Sus scrofa: one gene and its partner. The protein of the gene in region 1 purifies or fractionates together with the protein of each later gene. This does not show direct contact. Links are inferred from orthologs where the notes say so. Each region holds a gene or a part of one and is shown on either strand. Other genes may lie near its edges.

The links. Proteins that work in one complex are often made in the same cells at the same time.
Region 2: the proteins of PSMB3 (region 1) and PSME2 purify together in Homo sapiens (affinity purification with mass spectrometry; 3 studies listed by BioGRID and IntAct, counting the BioPlex papers as one, with this or other methods). This does not show direct contact. The link is inferred for Sus scrofa from reciprocal best matches to the Homo sapiens genes PSMB3 and PSME2.

Annotation. Positions count from the first base shown.
Region 1 is NC_010454.4:23,347,397-23,351,455, reverse strand, and holds part of PSMB3 (proteasome subunit beta type-3), read left to right. Parts: intron 1-1,006; coding exon 1,007-1,184; intron 1,185-3,384; coding exon 3,385-3,479; intron 3,480-4,059. UniProt on the Homo sapiens protein: Non-catalytic component of the 20S core proteasome complex involved in the proteolytic degradation of most intracellular proteins. This complex plays numerous essential roles within the cell by associating with different regulatory particles.
Region 2 is NC_010449.5:75,153,295-75,157,782, forward strand, and holds the start of PSME2 (proteasome activator complex subunit 2), read left to right. Parts: upstream 1-1,275; 5' UTR 1,276-1,354; coding exon 1,355-1,402; intron 1,403-1,709; coding exon 1,710-1,742; intron 1,743-2,169; coding exon of another isoform or gene 2,170-2,232; intron 2,233-2,477; coding exon 2,478-2,564; intron 2,565-2,668; coding exon 2,669-2,699; intron 2,700-2,787; coding exon 2,788-2,885; intron 2,886-3,458; coding exon 3,459-3,527; intron 3,528-3,682; coding exon 3,683-3,750; intron 3,751-3,914; coding exon 3,915-3,969; intron 3,970-4,273; coding exon 4,274-4,360; intron 4,361-4,449; coding exon 4,450-4,488. UniProt on the Homo sapiens protein: Implicated in immunoproteasome assembly and required for efficient antigen processing. The PA28 activator complex enhances the generation of class I binding peptides by altering the cleavage pattern of the proteasome.

The DNA.
Region 1 (4,059 bases):
TCCGAACCCAACTAGTAACCATGAGGATGCGGGTTCAATCCCTGGCCTCGCTCAGTGGGTTAAGGATCCAGCGTAGCCATGAAATATGGTATAGGTCGCAGGCGCAGCCCGACTGCTGCGTTCCTGTGGCTGTGGTGTGGGCTGGCACCTGTAGCTCCGATTGGACCCCCTCGCCTGAGAAATTGCATATGCCATGGGTGCACCCCTAAAAAACAAACAAAAAAATTACCAGGTGCTGATATAAGACATGGATAATGCCTCCTCGTGGATCCTAGTCAGATTCGTTTCCACTTCTCCGTGATGGGAACTCTGATATCCACATTTTTTATATTCTCTTGCACTATGGTTTATTATAGGATAGTGCGTATAGTTCCCTGTGCTACGCAGTAGCACTTTGTTGTTTCTCTCTTTTATATGCAGTAGTTTGTACTCGTTAATCCTAGGCTCTTACTCCTCTTCCCCTTTGGTAACCATTACTTTTCTATGTCTCTGAGTCTGTTTCTGTTTCGTAAATAAGTTCATTTGTGTTATTTTTTAGGTTCCACATGTAAGTGATGGTGTATTTGTGTTCCTCTTTCGGATTCAGTTCACTTAGTCTGATCATCTCTGGCTCCATCCATATTGGTTTAGTGTTATTTTTCAGTGTTTTTTCCTACAAACTGCTTCAAATCCTTTTTTGGGAAAAGAGTAAAGGTAGAGGTGTATCCATAGAAGATTGATTGGTGACAGGACCTGGATGAGGACAGGGAACATTAGGGGGAAACATAGAATCCCCCAAAAAAGGAAGAGGAAGAGAGGGTCGGGGGCGAGAAGAACACCAAGTGAGTGTCAGAGAAGAGGAGGAAAAGCCTTCGCACACTGCTTGGTGCAGGAGACGGGAAGGGAGGGTCCCACACAGGCCCTCTGCCTTCCCCCCTGCGTCTGGCCCAGGGCCTGGTCTGAATAGGCCTGGCCAGAAAAGCGAATGCTCTTGAGCTCTGGTCTCTCTCTGCTCCTGATCCCGCAGGTTTGGGCCCTACTACACTGAGCCGGTCATCGCCGGGTTGGACCCCAAGACCTTTAAGCCCTTCATTTGCTCTCTAGACCTTATCGGCTGCCCCATGGTGACTGATGACTTTGTGGTCAGTGGCACCTGCACGGAACAAATGTACGGGATGTGTGAGTCCCTCTGGGAACCCGACATGGTGAGTTGGCGGCATGGAGTGGGGCGGGGTTCTGAGGGGCCCGCCCCTCGGCCATCAGGGGAAGGTGGGTTTACCTGGCAGGTAATGGGGAGAAGGATGCGGGTAGGAGAGAAAGCCAAGCTGCTGAGCCTGGGAAGAGTGTCCAGAACAATCTGCCAGGGCCTTGGTGTGGGCCCTCAGTCAGATATTTGCCATAACAGCTCATTCTCACATTTGGCTTACAGAGTTCTTCCGTTCATTCAACAAACTTTTTTTTTTTTTCTGCTTTTTGCTTTTTAGGGCCGCACCCGTGGCATATGGAGGTTCTCAGGCTAGGGATCCAATTGGCGCTGCAGCTGCCAGCCTACACCACAACAATGCAGGATCCAAGCCACGTCTTCAACCTGTGCCACAGGTCACGGCAACACCAGATCCTTAACCCACTGAGCAAGGCCAGGGATCAAACCCGCAACCTCATGGTTCCTAGTCAGATTTGTTTCCACTGCGCCACAGCAGGAGCTCCCCATTCAGCAAGCATTTAACAGGGTGTAGGGTTAAGGACAGCTCAGCAGAATGGGCTCTGGAACCAGGTTTTCTGGGTTGGAAACCCACTTCCACCTACCACTTAATTGGTTATGTTCTCGGGGAGTCACCTGACGTCCGTGCGCCTCCAGTCCCTCAGCCGTAGAGTGGGGGTGACACCAGAACCGACCTCATGAGCGGTGGTGTGAGGAAATCGCAGGGAGAGATTGGAACAGAGCCTGACAGTGAGCGCTGGCCACTGTGCCAGCTCTGCTAGGCTCTGGGGAAACCAGATAGTCTGTCTTCAAGGATTTATTGCAGCCTAATGAAGCAAGACAAACACCCAGATACCTGTTAAAGTGAAGTTTGCCAGGAAAAAGAGGAAAGAAAGGGCCCGGTTGGCCGAAGGAACGGCCTGTGCAAAGGTGCGAGAAGGGCCAAGTGTGTTCAGTGATGGAAAGAGCTTGCTGTGGCTGCTGGAGGGTGGGCAGAGGCGGGTGAGAGGAAGGCAGGGCGTGAGCTCAGGAAGAGACCTGAAATGCCTGGAAGGCCGTGAGCAGCAGTTTGAACCTTTTCTTTTGGCATCATGTCAAAGGCTGTAAGAAACCTGAGGAACCAGAGGCCCGCGGGAGGCGCTGAGGTCCTGAGCAAAGAGAGTAGCAGGTGCGGAGCAGGGCAGCCAGGTCTAGAGGACTCAATCACCTAAAATAGAAATGAGGAAAGTGAGAGTTCCCTTGGTGGTTCAGTGGGTTAAGAACCTGACATAGTGTCCGTGAAGATGCAGGTTCGATCCCTGGCCTTGCTTAGTGGGTTAAGAATCCGGCATTGCTGCAGGCTGTAGCATAGGTCCCAGACGCGGTTTGGATCTGAAGGCCCGCAGCTGCAGCTCTGTCTCCACTCCTAGCCTGGGAATGTCTATACGCCGAGGTGTGGCTGTAAAAAGAAAAAAAAAAAAAGAAAGAAATGAAGGAGGCAGAGATACTGAGGACACTTGAGTTTTCTAGCTAGGCCAATGAAGATAGAGGATATAGGAGAAGAAACAGGTTTGGGAGGAAATAGGTTCATGGTTGGACAGGTTGGATTTCGAGGTACCTCTGGGCCACCCAGGAGGAGAGTCCATCAGACTCATGGGGGGTGGGGGTGGGGTGTCTTTTTTTTTTTGGCTTTTTAGGACCGAACCCGTGGCATATGGAGGTTCCCAGGCCAGGGGTCTAATTCAGAGCTGCAGCTGCCAGCCTACATCACAGACACAGCAACAGGGGATCTGAGCCTTGTCTGTGACCTACACCACAGCCTCACAGCAATACCAGATCCCTAACCCACTGAGCAAGGCTAGGGATCCATCCTGCATCCCCATGGTTACTAGTCAGATTCATTTCCGCTGAGCCACAACAGGAACTCCCTTCTCTCCATTTTATAGAAGAGGGATTGAGGCTTACGGAAGGGACATGCGACTTGCTCAAGGTCACGCTGCTGGTTAGTGTAGGAAGTTCGGGGCTTGAATTTCACCTTTTATAACCCTGCTTCCCTCTTGAGAAGGAGCTGAGGGGGCTTCTCACATCCAAGGAACCATCCCTCACTCCAGGCCTGGGAGGGGCCAGAGCCAGGCACCCTGAGCCTAGAGAAGAGAGTCCTGCGGAGCCAGACCAAATCAGGGTCCGAGGCTCCGGGGATTAAAGGGCTTCCGCTCTATTGGCAGGATCCAGAGCACCTGTTTGAAACCATCTCCCAAGCCATGCTGAACGCCGTGGACAGGGACGCGGTGTCGGGCATGGGCGTCATCGTCCACGTCATGTGAGTATGCGCTGGGAGACTCCGGAAGCCTTGCAGACGCCCGCCTCTCCCCTCCTGCACGAACACCCCATCGGGTGGGAAATGAGGCACTTGCAGCAGGCCCGTGACAGCTGAAAGGCCCGCTTCCTGAGGGCGGCCGCTGGGAGCCTACCCCGATTCCTGGCCTCCGTCCAGAGAGGGCTCCATGACCCCGAGTCTCCTCCCCTTGCTCACAGGAGACATTTCTTTCCTTCCTGAACAGTGTCCCCAAAGTCTCAGGGACTTGGTGTAGGGATGAGCCACAGCAGGGTTACTGCAGATTGATCGAAATAACGCCTGCGTGGCTCCTCTCCCCTCTCAACTGAAGCCAGCATGGAACCCCCAGCCGCGTGGTGTACTGCGCTCTGGGGACAGTTTCCAGCCCCCAGCCCGATGCCTGACTGCCTCCCCTTCTCCCTCTTACTTGTGCGGGGCTCTCACCAGGCACCTGACTTGCAGGGCCCAAGGTATCCTCCCGACAGCTTTCCTGGGGACCAGCCCAGAATAAGCACCTGGGCCCTTTTGTTCGGGATAACCTGCTAGTTACCATGAAAAGCAGATT
Region 2 (4,488 bases), on another chromosome or scaffold:
GTGCTGAGGTAGTTTCGGGGCTGAGAGCAGTCAGAGAGCAGAGAGCTGTGAGCCCCGACCGGACCTCTGCTCCCCTGTCCCCCTCCTAGGCGGGGCTGGGCCTCACCTCCCCATGAGCGTTGCAGCGGACCAGGCGTGCAGCGTTCAGCTGCAAGTAGCGGGCTGCTGGCGGCAGAGAGGTGACCAGTAGTGGCCGAAGCTGCTCCACCGAAAACGCCTGCCCGGAATCCCTCCTCAGGGCGTTCGCCAGCTCCTCGCGGGCCTCCAGGAAGGCTCGCTCCTCCTCCTCCCTAGGCATCCTAAGACAGGAGTCTGCCCCAGTCCGCTGCCCGCCGGAACCCAGAGCAGGTTGGGCGCGGCCCGAGAGCCGCCCCGAGCACCTGGGGTCTGGCTTCGCGGAGCGACACGGTCGGCACGGGAACCCTAAGTCACTCAGGCCACGGTCACTCTTGGGCCTCGGGCCCCACGCCAGGATTAGCGGGAACAGGAAGTACTAGGGAAGAGGGCGGGATTGCGACCCAGTTTCAGGGGAAGGGGAGGGGTTTAAACTTAAGGAGGGGCGGGGCCCAGGAGACCGGGGCGTGGCCAACAAGCCTCAGCCAATGAGAATGGTAAATAGTCACTGGCTCCTCCCTCAGAGCTTCTAGGCTTTAAACCTTGTTCTAGCGCTCTTCCCTACCTTGGTCCAGTCCGGTGCCAACCCCTGTGTATAGCCCCAGGTTCGGTGTTATTTTATTTCCCTCAAAGCCCTTCTCTCTACCCGAACCCCACAGGGGAAATCCCACTCAGGAACTCAACTCTGCCAGCCTGAACCCTACACAAGTCCCTTTTCCAGTCGGTCTTGAAGACAGGGCGTCCTCCGGGAGGAAGACCCGCCTGTTCCCTTCCATATCCTGCTATCCCTTCTCCCGCCTACTACTTCTCCTACCCGACTCTGATCTCTCTCAGGCCCCTCCCCTCAGTCGAGCCTTCCTAGGGGAGCCCCACCACTAAACACCCCCTTTCCCACTCTTCCACCCTCTCACCCCAAACCTGGACATCCCCTTGATGTTCTTCCCCCCCATAAGCCCCGCCCCTTCTCCAAGGGACAGCCCCTGTTCAGTCTCCGCGGTCCAACTTGTCCTAGCCCCTCCCCTGGACAGCCCCTGGGCTTGTGACCAAGTCAGCACCGCCTCTCCTAGTCGCACAGGCCGAGAATGGCAGAGGGGCTCCCAACAGTTTGCTGCCTTCCAGGGGGAGGGGGAAAAGAAGGAAGGGGGCGGGGTTGAGGGGGGCGGGCCTGGACGTGGGGAGTGAAAGCGAAAGCCCAGGCTGCGAGCGGGGAGACCGGAGATCTAGCAGCAACTGGAGCAGCATGGCCAAGCCTTGTGGGGTGCGCCTGAGCGGGGAAGCCCGCAAACAGGTATGGGGAACCGGGAGGCCAGGAAGGGTCCAAAAGCCCTCCCGAATGGAAGCCAAACTGGGTGCTCCAGGGGACCAAGGCCGTGCCAGAGAAATCCCCCAACCTCCCTAAGTGCTTTCACTTCTGTCCCGAGAGTCCCAGATTCCTGCCCTCTGAGCAGTCTCTACCTTGGGCAGGGGCTTCCAGGGAAATGTGGCTTGTAGTGGGAAAGGCCTGAGCCAAGTTGGAGGGCATCCTGTTGGGGGTGGGGTCTTACTGTGGGCAAGTGAGACCCTTAACCAACATCCGGGTACTGCTCTCTCTGCAGGTGGATGTCTTCAGGCAAAATCTTTTCCAGGAGGTAAGTCTTCTGGATTCAAGTGATTTGACGCAGAATCTCAGACCAATTCCTGAGCATTGCAACTTCCCAGACCCCTAAACCCACCCTCGACCCAGGCCCTACTTCCCTTATCAACCTTCACCCAAGATAAGCTCCTAGTTACTAATCTCTTCTTTTACTTTGACCCCTCTTAATACCTTCCCCACTTATGCCACTTCCTCTCCCATCTTTCGGTGTGAAGGGAAAAGCTGTAGCCCCAAAGCGGGAATACCACAGTTCTAACCTTGGTTCTACCACTTCCCAGCTTGCTCCCTTCACTTTTCAGGGATTCAGTTTCCTCATTTGTAAGTATTGGATTCAAAGATTTCCAAGGGCCCTTCCAGTCCCACTCCTCAGACTTCTCACTGAGTGTCTTCTGTGATTCTTACCCTTGAAACATAACCCGCAGGCTGAGGAATTCCTCTACAGATTTTTGCCTCAGAAAATCATATACCTGAGTCAGCTCTTGCAAGTGAGTAGAGTGAACCTCTTCTGTCCCAACCCATGGCCCCTCTCCTCTCCATCCACTCTCTCTAGCTAACAGCTGGGCTCCAACTGCAGAGAAGAGTTGCGAGTAGTGGACTGGGAACATTAGGATAGTGCCAAGCCTCAGCCTAGGTTGGGAGGAGGAGGGTGGGTACGATGTGTGTGGGGGAAGGCTGTGACTCAGGAGGACGGGAAGAGGCTGGGCAGTCCCTGACAGTGAGCTCTGTGCAGGAGGACTCCCTCAACGTGACCGACCTCACTTCTCTCCGGGCCCCGCTGGACATCCCCATCCCAGACCCCCCACCCAAGGATGATGAGGTGAGGCACTTAGGGCATAGGGCTTGGGCTATAAATCCACTGTACATAATGGTCTGCCAACCTCCATGACTTTTCTAAAGTTTCTTCCCCCCTTTTCTCCTTAGATGGAAACAGATAAGCAGGAGAAGAAAGAAGGTAAGAGGGGAAGGGGGGAGGTTAGGGAAAGAGAAATGGCACACTGATTGCTGGATGTGAAGGGATCTAAATCTCCTCTTTCTCACAGTCCCTAAGTGTGGCTTTCTCCCTGGGAACGAGAAGATCCTGGCCTTGCTTGGCCTGGTTAAGCCAGAAGTCTGGACTCTCAAAGAAAAATGCATTCTGGTAAGCTTGGGAAACTGGGGGACATAGAAAGAGAAGACAAGCAAGGCCATGCCTTGATCTCCTTCAGAGTTCCAAGTCCTTCCTTTAGGAACCTATTCTCAAAATAGGGAGCTTCCTTCTGTGCCTTGTGTTTAGATAACTTTTGCTCTCCTTGTTCTGCTAGACCTCTGATATTACAGTGGTACCCTCTAAATCAAACTGTGTTGCATCCCCCTCCATAACCTCAGAACCTACTGCTGTAGCAGGTACACAGTGCAGGTGCTCTGATACAGTGAGTTGGTTTAAGAGCTTGGACCCTAGAGGGAGACTGCCTTCATTCGAATCCTGACTCTATCACTTACCTAATTGGTTACCTTAAGTAAGTCACTTAGACATTCTGTGACTCAGCATTTTCATCTGTTTAAATGGGTACAAGCCTGAAAGGTTGCCGTGAAGATTAAATGAGATATATAATACATAGCACAGTGCCTGTCAAATAATAAGTACTCAGTTAAATGTAGCTATTTTTAGGAAGTAACCGTACTAAGAACAGAATTTTGTTGAATGATTCTTACATGATAGCTCTTATTGTAGGTGATCACATGGATCCAGCACCTGATCCCCAAAATTGAGGATGGAAATGACTTTGGGGTGGCAGTCCAGGTGAGAAAGGGTCTGTGAGGATGCTGAGAGCAGGAAGAGTCTTGGGGAGTAAGGGATAGAGACTAGATATGAACTGCGAGGAGGAGGTAGACAGTGAGTGAAAAAGGGACAAGATGAAGTGTTTTCTTTGCCTCCCATCTCTTTTGTCACCACAGGAAAAGGTGCTGGAGAGGGTAAATGCAGTCAAGACCAAAGTAGAAGCCTTCCAGACCACCATTTCCAAGTGAGGGCAGCTGGAGGGCCAGCACAGGGGTCTGCAAGGACATTCTGTGGGGACTCCCAAAGCGGGACATGCCCATCGGGATAATGGGGGGCCTTGGGAAGGGTCTGAGGGACTATCTCTCTCTGAACACCCACTCCTATGGTTACTCCCCTTGCTTTCGGCAGGTACTTCTCAGAACGTGGGGATGCTGTGGCCAAGGCCTCCAAGGAGACCCATGTAGTGAGTGGATAGTCCACCAGCCTGTTATTGGAGACTGGCTGGGGGTGGGATGAGGAAGAGGGCACAATGGTCCTCCTTGTTTTGTCTGTGACCTTCCCAATGTGGAGAATATTAAGCCAAAACCATTGCCCCAAACTTGGGCTTCAAAAACTTTACCTCCTTTCTCTGCTGGATCTTGTGGGATCCCATTTCCTGGTGCTGAGAAGGGGCTCATTCCTCAAGTTACCTATTCCCTATATGAGGAAACCAGATGAATGTCCCAACCTCCCATGGGGCTGACTCAGCTTTGCCTCCCACATCCCAGATGGATTACCGGGCCCTGGTGCACGAACGAGATGAGGCAGCCCATGGGGAGCTCAGGGCCATGGTGCTGGACCTGAGGGCCTTCTATGTGAGTCTGGAGTAAGCCCCTAAGGGAGGTGGATGAGGGGGCAAAGGAAAGGCCAGGAACCTGACTGTTGCCCTCTGGCTTTCTTCCAGGCTGAGCTTTACCATATTATCAGCAGCAACCTGGAGAAA